Bombyx mori: one gene and its partners. Each later gene encodes a partner of the first gene's protein in a complex. Links are inferred from orthologs where the notes say so. Each region holds a gene or a part of one and is shown in the gene's direction. Other genes may lie near its edges.

The links. The genes of interacting proteins can lie anywhere in the genome.
Region 2: DNA-directed RNA polymerases I, II, and III subunit RPABC4 (region 1) and Znrd1 share a complex: the UniProt entries of both Homo sapiens proteins name them as parts of the pol I pre-initiation complex. The link is inferred for Bombyx mori from reciprocal best matches to the Homo sapiens genes POLR2K and POLR1H.
Region 3: DNA-directed RNA polymerases I, II, and III subunit RPABC4 (region 1) and transcription initiation factor IIA subunit 1 share a complex: the UniProt entries of both Homo sapiens proteins name them as parts of the TBP-based Pol II pre-initiation complex. The link is inferred for Bombyx mori from reciprocal best matches to the Homo sapiens genes POLR2K and GTF2A1.
Region 4: DNA-directed RNA polymerases I, II, and III subunit RPABC4 (region 1) and general transcription factor IIH subunit 4 share a complex: the UniProt entries of both Homo sapiens proteins name them as parts of the TBP-based Pol II pre-initiation complex. The link is inferred for Bombyx mori from reciprocal best matches to the Homo sapiens genes POLR2K and GTF2H4.

Annotation. Positions count from the first base shown.
Region 1 is NC_085111.1:12,249,201-12,252,970, forward strand, and holds DNA-directed RNA polymerases I, II, and III subunit RPABC4, read left to right. Parts: upstream 1-1,432; 5' UTR 1,433-1,625; coding exon 1,626-1,689; intron 1,690-2,338; coding exon 2,339-2,431; intron 2,432-3,097; coding exon 3,098-3,120; 3' UTR 3,121-3,270; downstream 3,271-3,770. Other genes in the region: uncharacterized protein LOC119628526, read left to right, coding at 1-129. UniProt on the Homo sapiens protein: DNA-dependent RNA polymerase catalyzes the transcription of DNA into RNA using the four ribonucleoside triphosphates as substrates.
Region 2 is NC_085112.1:11,752,489-11,755,441, forward strand, and holds Znrd1 (transcription-associated zinc ribbon protein), read left to right. Parts: upstream 1-1,311; 5' UTR 1,312-1,312; coding exon of another isoform or gene 1,313-1,317; coding exon 1,318-1,444; intron 1,445-1,668; coding exon 1,669-1,879; intron 1,880-2,137; coding exon 2,138-2,162; 3' UTR 2,163-2,453; downstream 2,454-2,953. UniProt on the Homo sapiens protein: Core component of RNA polymerase I (Pol I), a DNA-dependent RNA polymerase which synthesizes ribosomal RNA precursors using the four ribonucleoside triphosphates as substrates. Can mediate Pol I proofreading of the nascent RNA transcript.
Region 3 is NC_085117.1:13,411,164-13,414,854, forward strand, and holds transcription initiation factor IIA subunit 1, read left to right. Parts: upstream 1-1,187; 5' UTR 1,188-1,709; coding exon 1,710-2,678; 3' UTR 2,679-3,191; downstream 3,192-3,691. UniProt on the Homo sapiens protein: TFIIA is a component of the transcription machinery of RNA polymerase II and plays an important role in transcriptional activation. TFIIA in a complex with TBP mediates transcriptional activity.
Region 4 is NC_085125.1:220,016-224,045, reverse strand, and holds the start of general transcription factor IIH subunit 4, read left to right. Parts: upstream 1-1,230; 5' UTR 1,231-1,391; coding exon 1,392-1,540; intron 1,541-1,850; coding exon 1,851-1,955; intron 1,956-4,030. UniProt on the Homo sapiens protein: Component of the general transcription and DNA repair factor IIH (TFIIH) core complex, which is involved in general and transcription-coupled nucleotide excision repair (NER) of damaged DNA and, when complexed to CAK, in RNA transcription by RNA polymerase II.

The DNA of each region.
Region 1 (3,770 bases):
GACGATGATTGCGACACGGATGAAGAAAGTAGTGATGATGATGATGATGGTCATGATTATGATAGCGAAAAAACAATTAAAAATACCAGCTCAGCTTCAGCTGATCCAAGACCTGGCACCAGCTCCTAGTTTTGACCTAATGGAAGGAATATCTATTTTACCCCTAGATTAAATTACTACAATTATTAACCTGTATTTTTTGTTCATGTACTAATAAATATATAAATAAATACATATTATGTTGTTTTTAATAACTTAACATTTTTGTACGTAATTGTACGATGCGCGAACTTACCCCCACTACGTCAACTAATGCTCAAGAAGTTTGCCGAGTATTAAGCGAATAGGCAGGTGCAGGTAGGGAAAAAAATGAAAAAATATTTATTTCTTTGTTTACTATGTTTGTTTTTTTAAGGGATTTTATGACCTGGTAACTAAGACCTTTAGGTCAAGTCTTATTTTAATTTTAATGATAACTTTTTTATATGAAAAATGATATTATTAAATGAAATGAAGTTGATTATTGTGAAACATGGCATGAAATGAAATGAAAACGAAATGAAATGAGAAAATATGGGATGAAATATAATCTCAGTAAAATGGTGGTCATTTACTAAGATTTTTCAGTGGACTTTTTGGAGGATCCCGAGAAGTTACGTCCAGCGGCTTTGTTCCATTTTCCCACATTTGTGCACTTTCACAGATATTAAACTGCTAATAAACCACCATTATTACACATTTAAACCCGAAGAAACACTAAATAGACAAAATATAACAAATCACACAATATCACTCCTCGCGTTCCCGCCAAAAAGTCTGTTTTTCTATGTTTGGGAGCTTAATGCACAGATTAGCTAACTCAATCCATAAATAAAATGTAAAAAAATATGCCATTTATTTGCTTTACGGCTCACTGAATTTGGTCCCCTTTTTTAATTTTCGATTTTTTTAATTTTTAATTATTTGTTCGTCGTTTGTTCGTTAATGTTCGCGCGTAACAAAAAGGTAGTAAATACGGCCGTCGGCCATTGCCATCTGACTGACAAAACCGGCGCATGCGCAATGTAGGCGTGAGGTGATAATTTGCTTATTAGATATAAAATAATTAATAATTTCGAATTTACTTGTTTTTATGATCGAACAATCACCAATAGTCGTCGAACAAACAATAATTGATCAAAATTAATTAATCTGAGCAATAAAAACAAAGATATCTAGTAAGAGGGGCCAACTGAAGGGTGATCATTTGTTTAATTAATTATAAATAAATAAAAGACGAACAGATAATTTTACATTCAAACATTGACGATCAAACGACGAACAAATAATTAAAAATAATCCTCGGTTCCCCTCCAATGTCCCGATGATTTTTTCTTTTAAATTTCCACTCCTTTTTTTACGTATTTTTTTCTTCAACAAGACAAGCCCTCTTTTGAACAAAACGTTTTATGGTTTAAGTTCCCTTTGCGGCTTAATTAAACAAATCCAAAAACCATAGATTCTACACACAAAATAACAATCCAAAGCATAGATTATACACTTAATATAAAGCTTAAATCAAATTGGTGATTTAAAATAAAACACATTTTTTATTATTATTTAATTTTTCTCTATTTTAGCACATAATGGCTGACACAACTGGGAAAGAGCAATCAGTTACTAAAGTGCCAATGATATATGTTTGTGGAGGTACAGTGTAACCAAATAATAACAAAACTTCTATCACTTTGTAAAACACTAACACAAAATAACCTAATAATTGTTAGGTATCAGCATACCCCAATAATTGAATATTTTTTTTGTATTTCTTTTTCTCTTGATTTATGAACATTTTTTATAGAAAAAAGAAAGAAACTACTTTTAAAATGTTCTTACCGATAACACTAAGCTTGTCAATGTCTACTAAACAAAGAATTAATAAATCAGTTAATTTGTCTTTTGTGTATAGTAGATTATAAAATTATTCACACTGTCTTATAACATTGTATAAATTAAGGCGTTTTGTTTAATGTGTTATTGTTTTACTATATTTCAAATGGGGAATGCATCTGTATAAATATAAATGTTCTTTAGTAAAGCTAAAAGCCGTAAAAGCTTAAGTGCTTTTAATAAAACTTGTTAATATTAATATTAAAATTTAAAAAACCTAAACTTAAAAGTATTAGAAAAATGAAATTGATTCAATTGAGAGTAAATTATATTGTTTGCCCTTTTCTACATTATTGTTTTTGCCGATCATCTACTTCAACTGTTTAAATGTTGGTTTCTTTAATAAATGCAATCCTGAAACTATAATATGGGTCTGCAAAACAAATGATGCTTTCATTATCATTTTCAGAATGTCACAAAGAGAATGAAATCAAACCAAGAGATCCTATTAGGTGCAGAGAATGTGGTTACAGAATAATGTACAAGAAAAGAACAAAAAGACGTATCCTTTTGATTCTATAAATATATTCTTAAAGTAAAGATTATAGGACTAGGATACAGCCTAGTGATTTTAATCAGTAGAAAGGTATTGACAGGTATCACCCATATTTAATTCCTTCATTGTGGAAGTGATTCGTGATCACATTTCGAGAGTATATTTCTTTGGATATTGGTATATGCAATTTGCACATTTGCATGGTTGCACAGCTTGACACAACTACACCATCTGTTTTATCCTTTAGATCACATTGAGCTTGCAAGAAAATAAATGTAATAAATGAGTCGACTATTATCAAAGGCGGCAATCTGACTTTTGGACAATGATTGGTAAATCAGAAAAACGAATTATTGACTTTGTATTCCATTGGCAGTCACAAAACTCTTCGGAACGACATCTTAGATAAATAACAGGTTAACTATTAACCTTTATTTAATGCAGGTTTTGAACCGTATTCTTTGAAGGAGACGATTATATTCAAATAAATCTGTATTGACATATCAATAAAAAAAAATTGTCCAAATGTACAGATTGCCACCTTTGATAATAGACGACTCATATCTGTTAAAATCTTCAGAAAATTACCCTTTTTGTAGTTTGTGTTGATTTTAAATTCATCATATTTTTGTTCGTAATATTCTGAAAAATTTTCCTTAAGTAAGAATTCAGTGGTTGTGTTTGACGCTCGGTAAACGAATTCTGGAAACAAAACCCTAGAAGATAAGTTCGGTGGATACATCATGCACAGAAGAGTGAAATAAATTTATAATAAGGTTAATGTGTATTTTTGTTACTTTGTCTATGCTCTAATAATACTGACCAATGAAAAAAAATATATACAAGGTAGTTTTTTTATAGTAGATTTATAGATCTACATCATCACTTTACATTATATACTGGTGGTAGCCCATAGACATTAAAACATGAATGCCACCTACCGCCATGATATATGTGTTCTAAATTGTACCCAATAGATATAAGTAATCTGAATGATTTGAAGTATCAATCAACTTATTTGATGTTTCTAAATGAACTACTGCCTTAAAAAAAAAAGACTTAAGTGCAAGAAAAATATGTAACTTTATAGATAGATATCAAATGAGTTCATTATCTTTTTTTTTTATTGCTTCGATGGGTGAATGAGCTCACAGCCCACCAGGTGTTAAGTGGTTACTGGAGCCCATAGACATCTACAACGTAAATGCGCCACCCACCTTGAGATAAAGTTCTAAGGTCTCAAGTATAATTACAACGGCTGCTTCACCCTTCAAACCGAAACGCATTACTGCTTCACGGCAGAAATAAGCAGGGCGGTGGTACCTACCCGCGCGGTCTCACAAGA
Region 2 (2,953 bases), on another chromosome or scaffold:
ACACGCGTTAGTATTAAAAAATCTCACAGATGGCGCTGTATTAAATAGTATGTATATTTCTGTCTCATTCTTTGCTGGCTTCATCCTACACATTTTTGTATTTGTGTCTCTTACCTGTCGTTTTATCCGTTGCATCCGGTTTGAAATCACAACGATTCTAAAGAAGTTTTCACTTCAAAAGACAGGCTGTCAGTTTGAGGGAAAAATGTCATGATATAAAAAAATGTGTTTTACGTTTTTAAAAGGTTCAAAGATAAAAATCAATTGATTGTTAATGTATACGATTTTAAGGTGCGTGTGGAATAAATAAATGCTTCCTATACTGCAGTTTGAGTTTAATCCGCAACGACGACAGTTGTCAACATATTTCCTAAATACCTACTAATCTATATATGAGAAACAATGAAGATGACTGATTTTAGAGATCCACTATTGAAGAATTGCGTTTATAATTTCGTTTATAGAGTGGAGTTAGTAATAGTGTAAAGAGCAAGAGCTAAAAATGAGCTGTAGTAGACTGTAGTGGTTATATCTACAGCTACTGGGAGCGTTCTGTAGTTCTGTAGGCATTGTCACAGACTGTGGTAGAGAGACAAAAAGTCCACCAAAACTAAAACGTAGAAGTGCAATCTTCATTATTTTAATTACAGCACGTCATTTCGTATCCTCCCGATCCACTAACGGTGCTTTTAAGCACTTCAAATCACCAGTCATCGTTCTCGTCGAAACCGTCGCTTGCGACAAAGGGCTCGGCGAGTAAATTAACCCACAGACACAACCCACTGAGTTTCTGGCCGGATCTTCTCAGTAGGTCGCGATTCCGATCCGCTGGTAGATTCAGAGAAGCACTGCTCTTGCTAGGGTTAGCGTTAGCAACGTCATCAGGTTTGAGTCCCGTGAGCTCACCTACTTGTTAGGTGACGCTAACATAGCCTCTCAAGGCTATGAGCTTAGGTAAGAAAAAGAAACAGTTACTGAACTTCATCTTTTCAAATTTTAGTTACAAGTGATCTAATACTATCAGTATGGGCTATGTTTCCTTTGTCAATTGTCAAACAGTTAAAAAAAATTGTACGTAAGTAATGAATTTATCATTATAGTAAAAAAAAAATAGGTTTTTGTATAGCAAATACTTAGGGTATGTATACACTAAAACTGTCTAAAACCCTTCACAAAAATATATAGTATGCTTCATATTGGTTTAAAAATATATTTTGGTTATGTTTAGTACTAATAGATAAAGATTTAAAATAACCTAATATTCTAAACAAAAATACACAACCCTTTTAGTGATAATTGTGTTTACTTTTAGAAATAATGTCCACTGAAAGCCCGTTATCAACTAGTACAGCGTTTTGTGCTCGCTGTGGGTCCATATTACCCTTGCTACAAGAGTTTGGCTCCGTGAAATGCTACACTTGTAAAGCACATTATGAGGCTGATAGTAAGTATATAGTTGCCAATGAAAAAATTACTTTCATATAAACGGGATACGATTTTTCAGCGTTATGCTTTTGTATAATTTTCGAATATTCACTATTAAATTTATAATAAATAAAAAAACTTTAGTGATACTTATGAAATCCAGAAAGAACCTGTTGTATTTGTTTTCGAAATATAAAATAAAAACTTAAAAAAATGTTTTATTCAGAAATTCTTTTTTTACAGATTATAGTAAAATGAAATTTCAATACACAATACATTTCAATACTATATCTGTGATCACAAATGAGAATATACTACATACTGATGGTCCTGAGGGTCCAGTTGTGGAGAGAAAATGCGCTAAATGCGGTTACGACAGAATGTCATATGCAACTCTACAGTTACGATCGGCCGATGAAGGACAAACAGTTTTCTACACATGTATAAAGTGCAAGTATGTAAATTACAATATTTATTTGTATTTCGATGAGCAAGTCATCAATATCTGTACTTGTATTAAATAAAATTGGACCCTACCACTAGCCTAAGACAGGAAAATAATTGCAACTTGTGGCCAAATTTCCTTGGTAATATAAAACTGGACATAATAATGATCTTGTAAGCAACTACTATCTCAAAAATAAAATTATTTCCTAATTTAAAAAAGAACACATCGTACAAGATAATATCGTAAAGTATTATTTATTTTCAGATACAAGGAAACTGAAAACTCCTAAAGGCTGCTTTATACTAGTTTTAAGGTTGTCAAAGGAAAACTCGGCAATAGAATCATTGTATCAGAATCACTTTATGCAAAAATCAGTTTTACTGATTGTTTTAAATTAGGTAAATTTAATAAGGATTAAAATTAATCACCATGTAACTGGTGCGTAATTTTAATTCCATTTCTTGGAATGATAACTTTTAAACTGTAAATTCTATACTGATTAATCTTAAAAACCATGTTTTAAAAATTACATGTAATAGAATCAAATCTGAATAATTGAAATTATAAACATTTGTCCAAATGTTTTTTTTATGCTGAGAAATACATTTCTATTTTTAAATAATAAGTTCAATGAAAGTTTCTTTTTCAAAAGGTTTTATTTCCATGTTTCTAAAACCATAGCAATATTGAAGAGTTTTATGCAACAAGTTTATTTGGATCTTAGTGTAGAAGATTTACATTTGACAATTTTTGATAAACTTATAATACACTACTCAGAAATAATTCTATGTAGAACAAGCTCGGCCATATTAGTTTCCTACAGTAAGCATAATATGCCTGTATAACAAAAGTACACACTGCTAATCTTCCATAGTAGAAGTCACTGGATTCTGTAATACATACATATTTATTAAGGAAAATTTTTACCTGCCTCCTAAGGCCTTATCCCTTGATACTAACACCAGCACAATCGCTTGATACTTGTAAACCGGCATCGTATCCTATAGACCACAACAACATCAAGTGGGCTGTGAGCTAGCGTAACCATACAATGAAGAAAAATAATCGTAGTATTGGCAA
Region 3 (3,691 bases), on another chromosome or scaffold:
AGATGGTTTTTGAACTGCCATAAAACCAAAATTCTACATTAATAGCGAACACATAGTGAATAGTAAACAAATTTTAGTTTGATCCTACGTTAATTTAGACTTCAGGTGAGCGAGTAATGATATTCTGGAACGTATCGATCTGCTGCAAATAGCTAGCCGACGAACAAACCAACACGGTCCCCACTAGACCGCGTCGACCGCGGACTATACAGATACACACCAATCACTGACAGATGACGTTATTTCCCCGAAATAACTAGCTGTGCTTTTAATTTACCTTTAATTAATTTACGGTAAATGTGCTGTATTGTGTTATCAAGAGAAGTTTGATTTGATAAACTGAAAAAACCGTGTTTCATTCGGCATTGGTATCGATTTTGTTCGTTACAATATTTACTAAAAGAAAATTGAGGTAAATGAGTACTGTAACCCTCATATTTTGATATTTATAAATTTTTAATATTATATTGAAGTCAGAATATATAAGAATGTTCCATTAGAATACCTTCTTACCAATTGTCGTGCTTTAAAAATCTGTCACAGAAAGAAATGTATTGAGTCAAATGAATTGATGATGATTGATGTCAAATTAATAACGAAAGCATATTATTATACACTACCTTTTCAACTATATAAGTTTAAGCCCCTATTTTAAATATAAAAACTTCAACGTCATTCGTTACAAAAAAAATGAAAAGCTTCGACAAAGACGAAAAGTTCTTTCCAACATTTGGATTTCCCGCCACAAAAATACTAAAATTCAATTATTGTCTATGCCACCAATTTTAATCAACATTTTTTACAACCACTGAAAAACTGAAAAATCTATCTAAAATAACAATTAAGTTTATAGTTACTCTTGTTTCATAAACGTCCTATTATGCGGTTTTATTAAGAATGAAGTCTTTAAGTTTTCATAGTACAAGATAAAATTGAGTGTTGCGTTGCTTGTACTCAACAGTGCAATAGTTTAATATAAATAAAATATAAATATTATTTAGTCAATATTATTTAACAATGGTTTAAGTAGAAATGAATTTCATTAAAATTGGCTTGTAACGAATTTTTTTGAATGAATACCGTTTTTTGTGAAAATTCTATATTTTTAAATTTCATCATTCAATGTTATAACAATAAATTTTAGATATGCCAATTTTGTTTTGAAATTTTAAAGTGGTGGCTCTTTCCTTTCAAACCGTAAAATCAATTTAAAGGCAACTACCCAAGGCGCAAACTCACCAATACGTAATCAACCGGGGCGCGGTGCGGGGCGGTGCTATTTCTCGTACTCATAACGCATGCGCCATCTTTGTCGTCGTTCAATGTCGGAATCAACGAACCATAGACAATTATTTCTTTAAAGGCTACGAAATATTTCCTCGGTTTGTAGGTTATGTTTGAGTGATCAATTGTCAAAATTTTTATGGTGAATTTATAAATTTGTCTCTCTTTATGTAAATGGACGTCATAAAAGTTAAAATAAGCTACTTTAGCCACATATTATCTTAAATATATAAAATTGGTCATCAACATTAGTGAATTAACAAACTGTGTGAATTCCAGAAATTTGACATTGAAATGTTGCGATGTGAACTCAGAAGACAAATAATCGGCTCTAAACTAAACTAAACAGATTTAGAAACAAGAATATCTAGTTCTGTGAACATTTTACACTGTTAAACAATTTTCAACTACAGCTCGATTGCAAAATGACAACGAGTCAGCTCGCAGTATTGAAACTTTACAACATAGTGGTAGACGACGTGATATCCGGAGTGAGAAATTCTTTCTTAGATGACGGTGTAGACGAACAAGTGTTACAAGAACTAAAACAACTATGGAAGACAAAGCTTCAAGCCAGTGGAGCCACGGACCCGTTACAACCTGAGCCGATGCTGCCACCTCCTCCAGTGTTACAGAATTTCCAAAAAGTAAATGGTAGTAATGTAGTGCATAAAAGAACTGACATGGGACATACTTCGGGGCAACAAGAACATAGTGCACCAGCATCTAGTGTAGCTGGAACGCATACTCATCATATTCTAGACCCTAATAATAAAGTGCCAGTTCAGCTTACATTACCTGCTCAACCTGGAGTTCCAGGGTCCCAGCCTCGTTCATTTACCATTCAAATTCCAGCATCAGCTCTGAACGGCAACAAACTGCATCAGGTCTTAACAGGTCCTATAATAAATGCTACCATTAGCCTTCCACAACCTCTAGCTGCTACTTTACTGCAACAACATATCAACTCGGCTTTAGCAGGACAAAAAAGTGATTTTGATAGCGGCGGAGGCGGCCGCAGTGGAACTGCTCCTTTCTCTTTAGATGGTGCTTTGGACTCTTCTGATGATGATGGCTCAAACGTAGGTGATGGTTCAGAAGACGGTGCAGCAGATGATGATGATGATGACGATTCTCCCGAAGAGCGGGCAGAAGAAGAAGAAGAAGAACAAAATGAAAGTGGTGGTGCTGAAGAAGAACCCCTAAATTCCGGTGATGATGTATCTGATGAGGAGCCAGGGGACATGTTTGATACTGATAATGTAGTTGTTTGCCAATATGATAAAATTACACGCAGTCGCAATAGGTGGAAGTTCTATCTCAAAGATGGAATCATGAATCTAGCTGGAAAGGATTATGTATTCCAAAAGGCTAATGGTGATGCGGAATGGTGATTATAGACAGTGTGTATTTTATAGAAAATTATTTGTTATATCTCGGAATTAGGGCTTAAGGTCTCATAATTATTATTTCGTTATTTCGACATGTAATTTGATGTCTGTATGGCAGATATCTGTGTAACAAGATTACGATAAGATTGTTAAACAAATTATGAAAAAAAAAAAACAATCTTTAGTAGGTAGATTTGAAGTTTTCTAAGACACTAGTATTACCAATAGTAAAAAACTCTACCAAGCTCCTTCAGTCTCACTTCCCATTAGTGTGTTTTTTGTACACTACTGAGACTACTACTTACTAATATAATTACAAAAAAAAACACAAAAAAAAATCTAAATGAAAGATATTTATTTGACTTTGTGCTTCTAATATCGAGATACATATCTTGACTTATTGGGTATTAATAATGTACAATACAAAAGAAGTTTGTGAATAATTTTGTTATCTCTTAAGTTGATGCTCTTTAATTTAAATGCCACTATTAAAATTACAATAAATGTGACACATGACCCATGTTTTTTTTATAATATTGAAAATGTCCTTAATTTCATTTGTTTAAACAAAAAATATAATGCATAAATAAACAACTTTTAAATTTAATAAAAATGAGTTAAATTTCCTCTTTAAAAATGAAAAAAATATTTATTACAGAGTATGTAAGATCAAAGATAATTTAAATATCAAACAAATAGTCCTTATTAGAAGCAAACAATTAATTTGGTTTTTTTTTAAATTTCTACATCTCAACAATGGGCAAGGACTGCAAGGGCATGATACTTTAAAATGTAATTATTTCTAATATAATAATATTATAGATAACGTTTAGGGGGTTTTATTTTAATAACGAATTAAATTGCACTCTTAATATTAAGACTTAAAAGGAAAAATAACTACACACAAACTCATATGAAAGCTATTTTTACAGAAGGAGAGTCATCATGTTTCTAATGTAAAAAAAATCAGTTAGGCTGCTTTAAAAAAGTATGGTAAATTTCAAAACAGAGTGCAC
Region 4 (4,030 bases), on another chromosome or scaffold:
CCAAGCCTATTATTTATGAACATGGTAATCAATTGGACTGGCTGCTAATCTATCCAAACGGACACTGGTAGTATCTGTGAGTTTTATATAATTATCGGATCATATTAAAAAAAATACATCAATAAACAACTTTAAATCCATACGCATGAATAATCTACTGATTTAATAGGTAAAGGTAATAAATATTTCGATATATATATCTAACTTTTTCTCTAACATTTTTACGATGTTTCCCCGGCGCTTTGACGTATCCTTATTCAAACGAGATCTGAAGACAATTCTTAACACTTAGCAACTGCTTGGGCTCAGGCATTGCTGACTGCTGATATCTATGAGCGACGGTGATTACTTACCATCTGGTGGCCGTATATTCGCATGCCTACGATTACAACAATAAAAAATAATATCATTAACAACGCACTTTTTTACTTTTTGTTAGGAAGAAAGTTTTACTGGTGGCCCGTTCAGTTTCACCAGGACAGTGCGTGCGCGCATTCAGCCGGGTCTTTTTAACTGAGGTGGTGGAGGTAATAGAATGACTTTCGAAACACTATTTGGTTTGTATTATTGTCCTCTATCGACCGTACTTTCTGCACTTCTCGATGACTATGCAATCACAAAAATTACGGTTTTTACATTGTATCAAAACACGAGGTATAATTTAATTATATTAGGGCGCTCATTATTGATCTGACAAAACATTTCAGAACTAATAAGTGCCTAGGCCTAGCTCCACGACGCCCTTCACGAGGTCAAGGATCGTAGCAAATGGAGAACAATCGTATAAGAGAGATTGATGCAGCGGGGGAGTCACGACCCTCCTTTCAATGAGGAGAACGACTTGAGGAGGAGGAAGGGCCGAGGTATCATTTTAAAATCATATCAAGGCTTCGATCACAAAAAAATATACGCATTCGTAGTTTAAATATATATCTTTGAAGTAGGCGATCTGTAATTCAAATGCCAAATCTAAATACCAAATCTGTACCAAAGAGTTGAAAAATATGGTGGAAAAGGTGTTATCGGTTTTATGACTAAACAAAAATATTAAGCAACATTATTGATATTTTGACTTCATGTCTCGAGATACGTCGTGATGTATATACTGTCCGTAACCAGTAACCACTACGATCCGTAAGCTCATGTGGTGCGAGTTTCTGTAATTCGAACTAAATGGTAAGCCCTATGGTTATTTTACTTTTTCAATATGGCAATCAGATCTTAGAGGAAAGTAATCTGTCAACTGTCACGAAGTCATGAAATGTGGTTGTCAAATTTCAATTTGTTTTGGGTTGTTTTGAATTTGGATTACTTTGTTATTATAATCTGAAACTTATGAATTAAAGAGATTTAAGAACTAATTATTAGGTAGACAGCAGACAGCGAGAACGATGTCAGAGTCTTCTAAATCGAAGTCTTTAAATTTGAATCCTTCGCCTACACTACAATGCAAAGACCTTCACGAATATCTTAAGTCGCGGTCTCCGCAGTTTCTAGAGACTCTTTACAATTACCCCACTATATGTCTCGCTGTATATCGGTAAGTCGCTATTCATAACCTTACCTGTAAGGCAGTAAGACTGCTAGAGGTAATGCACGGAACGCATCCAAATATTCCTAAAACTGAGCTATTTCATACATAATAACTACTAATGACTCTCGTGTATATATGTCATACGCTCAAAAGCACAAAAAAATCAGTTGTTATCATTCACCAATGAATATACAATAAGAGGTACAGAGTGATTTACTGTTCAACTATTTAATTAATTTGTCTATGACTAGCTAAAAGATAATACTAGTAATCATGTTTTAATTGAATAAAACTATTGTATAATACTAAATTCCAGCGAATTACCAGAGCTAGCACGTCACTTCGTAATCCGCTTGCTGTTCGTTGAGCAGCCAGTCCCACAGGCAGTTGTCACATCCTGGGTCTCGCAAACATATGCCAAGTATGTACTTGTTATCACAATACACAGTAAAAGGTCTTAAAGTAAATGTTGATAACATCTATAGTTTGACTCAAACATGGCTAAACATGGTCCTACAAAATTATATGGATGTGTAGAAGAGTTGCGAGAATTAGAGCACTGTGGTATGTGAAGAATGTCAACCTTCACAAAATCTAAATTAAAAACAGACATGTATGTATCCAGTGGTTTTAGGCCTCGCAAGCATCCATCATCCTCCTCATCGAACTTGTTGATTATGACGAAGAGTTAGCCAAAGTAAGCCATAGACACAGCCTGCTGAATTTCTCACCGCATCTTCTCAGTAGGTCGCGACTCCCATCTGGTGATAGATTCTGTGAAGCACAGCTCTTCCTAGGGCCAATGCTACCAAATTGTCTGGATTTGAGCCCCTGAGTTCACTTAGCTGTCTGAGCGTAGCTGGAATATCCCAAACTAGCAGGGAATAGATAGGGAAAAAAATAACATTCTAATCGGTTACCCAACAGCAGTGCCATATTTAACTCAAATGTCAAAAGAGATTGTAGTGCTGATTTTCCTTTTCATAAGATATGGATTTTTTTGTGCAAAATGACAGTAACCAACCCTTGAAGCTGTTGAAGTTGTTGAATTAAAGAAGTGAATGCTGCCTTCCCCTACAAATTTGGGAGATAAAAAATAAATAATCATTCTGTAATGCTTTTTAACAATCTCTTGAAATTTGAGTTAAATGTGGCACTGCTGTTGGGTGACTGATTGTCAATGGTACATTGATATATGAATGTGATCCCATGGAGATATGTCTCTATACTACAACTAACCCCCTTCCAAACACCTTTTTTCAATAATGTGGCACTAAGTGTATCTTTTTCCTGGTAGACTCCATACTATTTTCATATTATCCAAATTTAACCTCAGCTACTTAATTGTATGTGGCAAAAAGTACTGTTTACTGCCACTTTTTGCAGCTTCTTTCCTATCACAAAAAGAATTAAAATCTGAGATCAAACCACACTTAATGATGAAGCAGTCAACATTGGTCAGTTTTTCATTTACAGCTTAGCTTATAATTATAAAAAAAAACAAAGGAATATGGAACCAATTTAAAAAAAAAATTAGATATGCTATTCATTGATATATTGAGTAGGACCACTGAAAACGATATCAGGAAAAAATAAACTATGTTTCGGATTCCTATAATTTTTTCCAAGAATGTAGACATTGGAAAATATCAACATAATATTATTGTTTTATTTCAAGGTCAAATCATAACATATTCGCAAATTATAGAAGACAGGGAGTGAATAAGTTTATCCTTTGATGGAAATAAAGCAATTCTGCAATCATTATGTAGGCTTAGGATAGAATACTCGTACTCTCAAATCGGATACGGTAGTAGCTATGCCCCCCCTCGTAGGCCCCTCAGGCCGACTCGCGGCGTTCGATGATGACGAAAAAGCAGAGCTGCTGGCCGATACATTGCAAACCCAGTGCACGCCCAGCACTCAATCCGTGGACCCTGTTCATGTAGAATTAGTACAGTGAGGTAGAACGCAGAGCCTCCTTGCCACCCTTGGATGCGTTACCACCCGTCACCCCGAAGTTAAAGACTTGATCAAAGACCTACGTCCTCGCAAAGCTCCCGGTTCCGACGGTATATCTAACCGCGTTATTAAACTTCTACCCATCCAACTCATCGTGATGTTGGCATCTATCTTCAATGCCGCTATGGCTAACTGTATCTTTCCCGCGGTGTGGAAAGAAGCGAACGTTATCGGCATACACAAACCCGGTAAACCAAAAAATAATCCGACGAGTTACCGCCCGATTAGCCTCCTCATGTCTCTGGGCAAACTGTATGAGCGTCTGCTCTACAAACGCCTCAGAGACTTCGTCTCATCAAAGGGCATTCTCATCGATGAACAATTCGGATTCCGTGCGAATCACTCATGCGTACAACAGGTGCACCGCCTCACGGAGCACATTCTCGTGGGACTTAACCGACCAAAACCGATCTACACGGGAGCCCTCTTCTTCGACGTCGCAAAAGCGTTCGACAAAGTCTGGCACAACGGTTT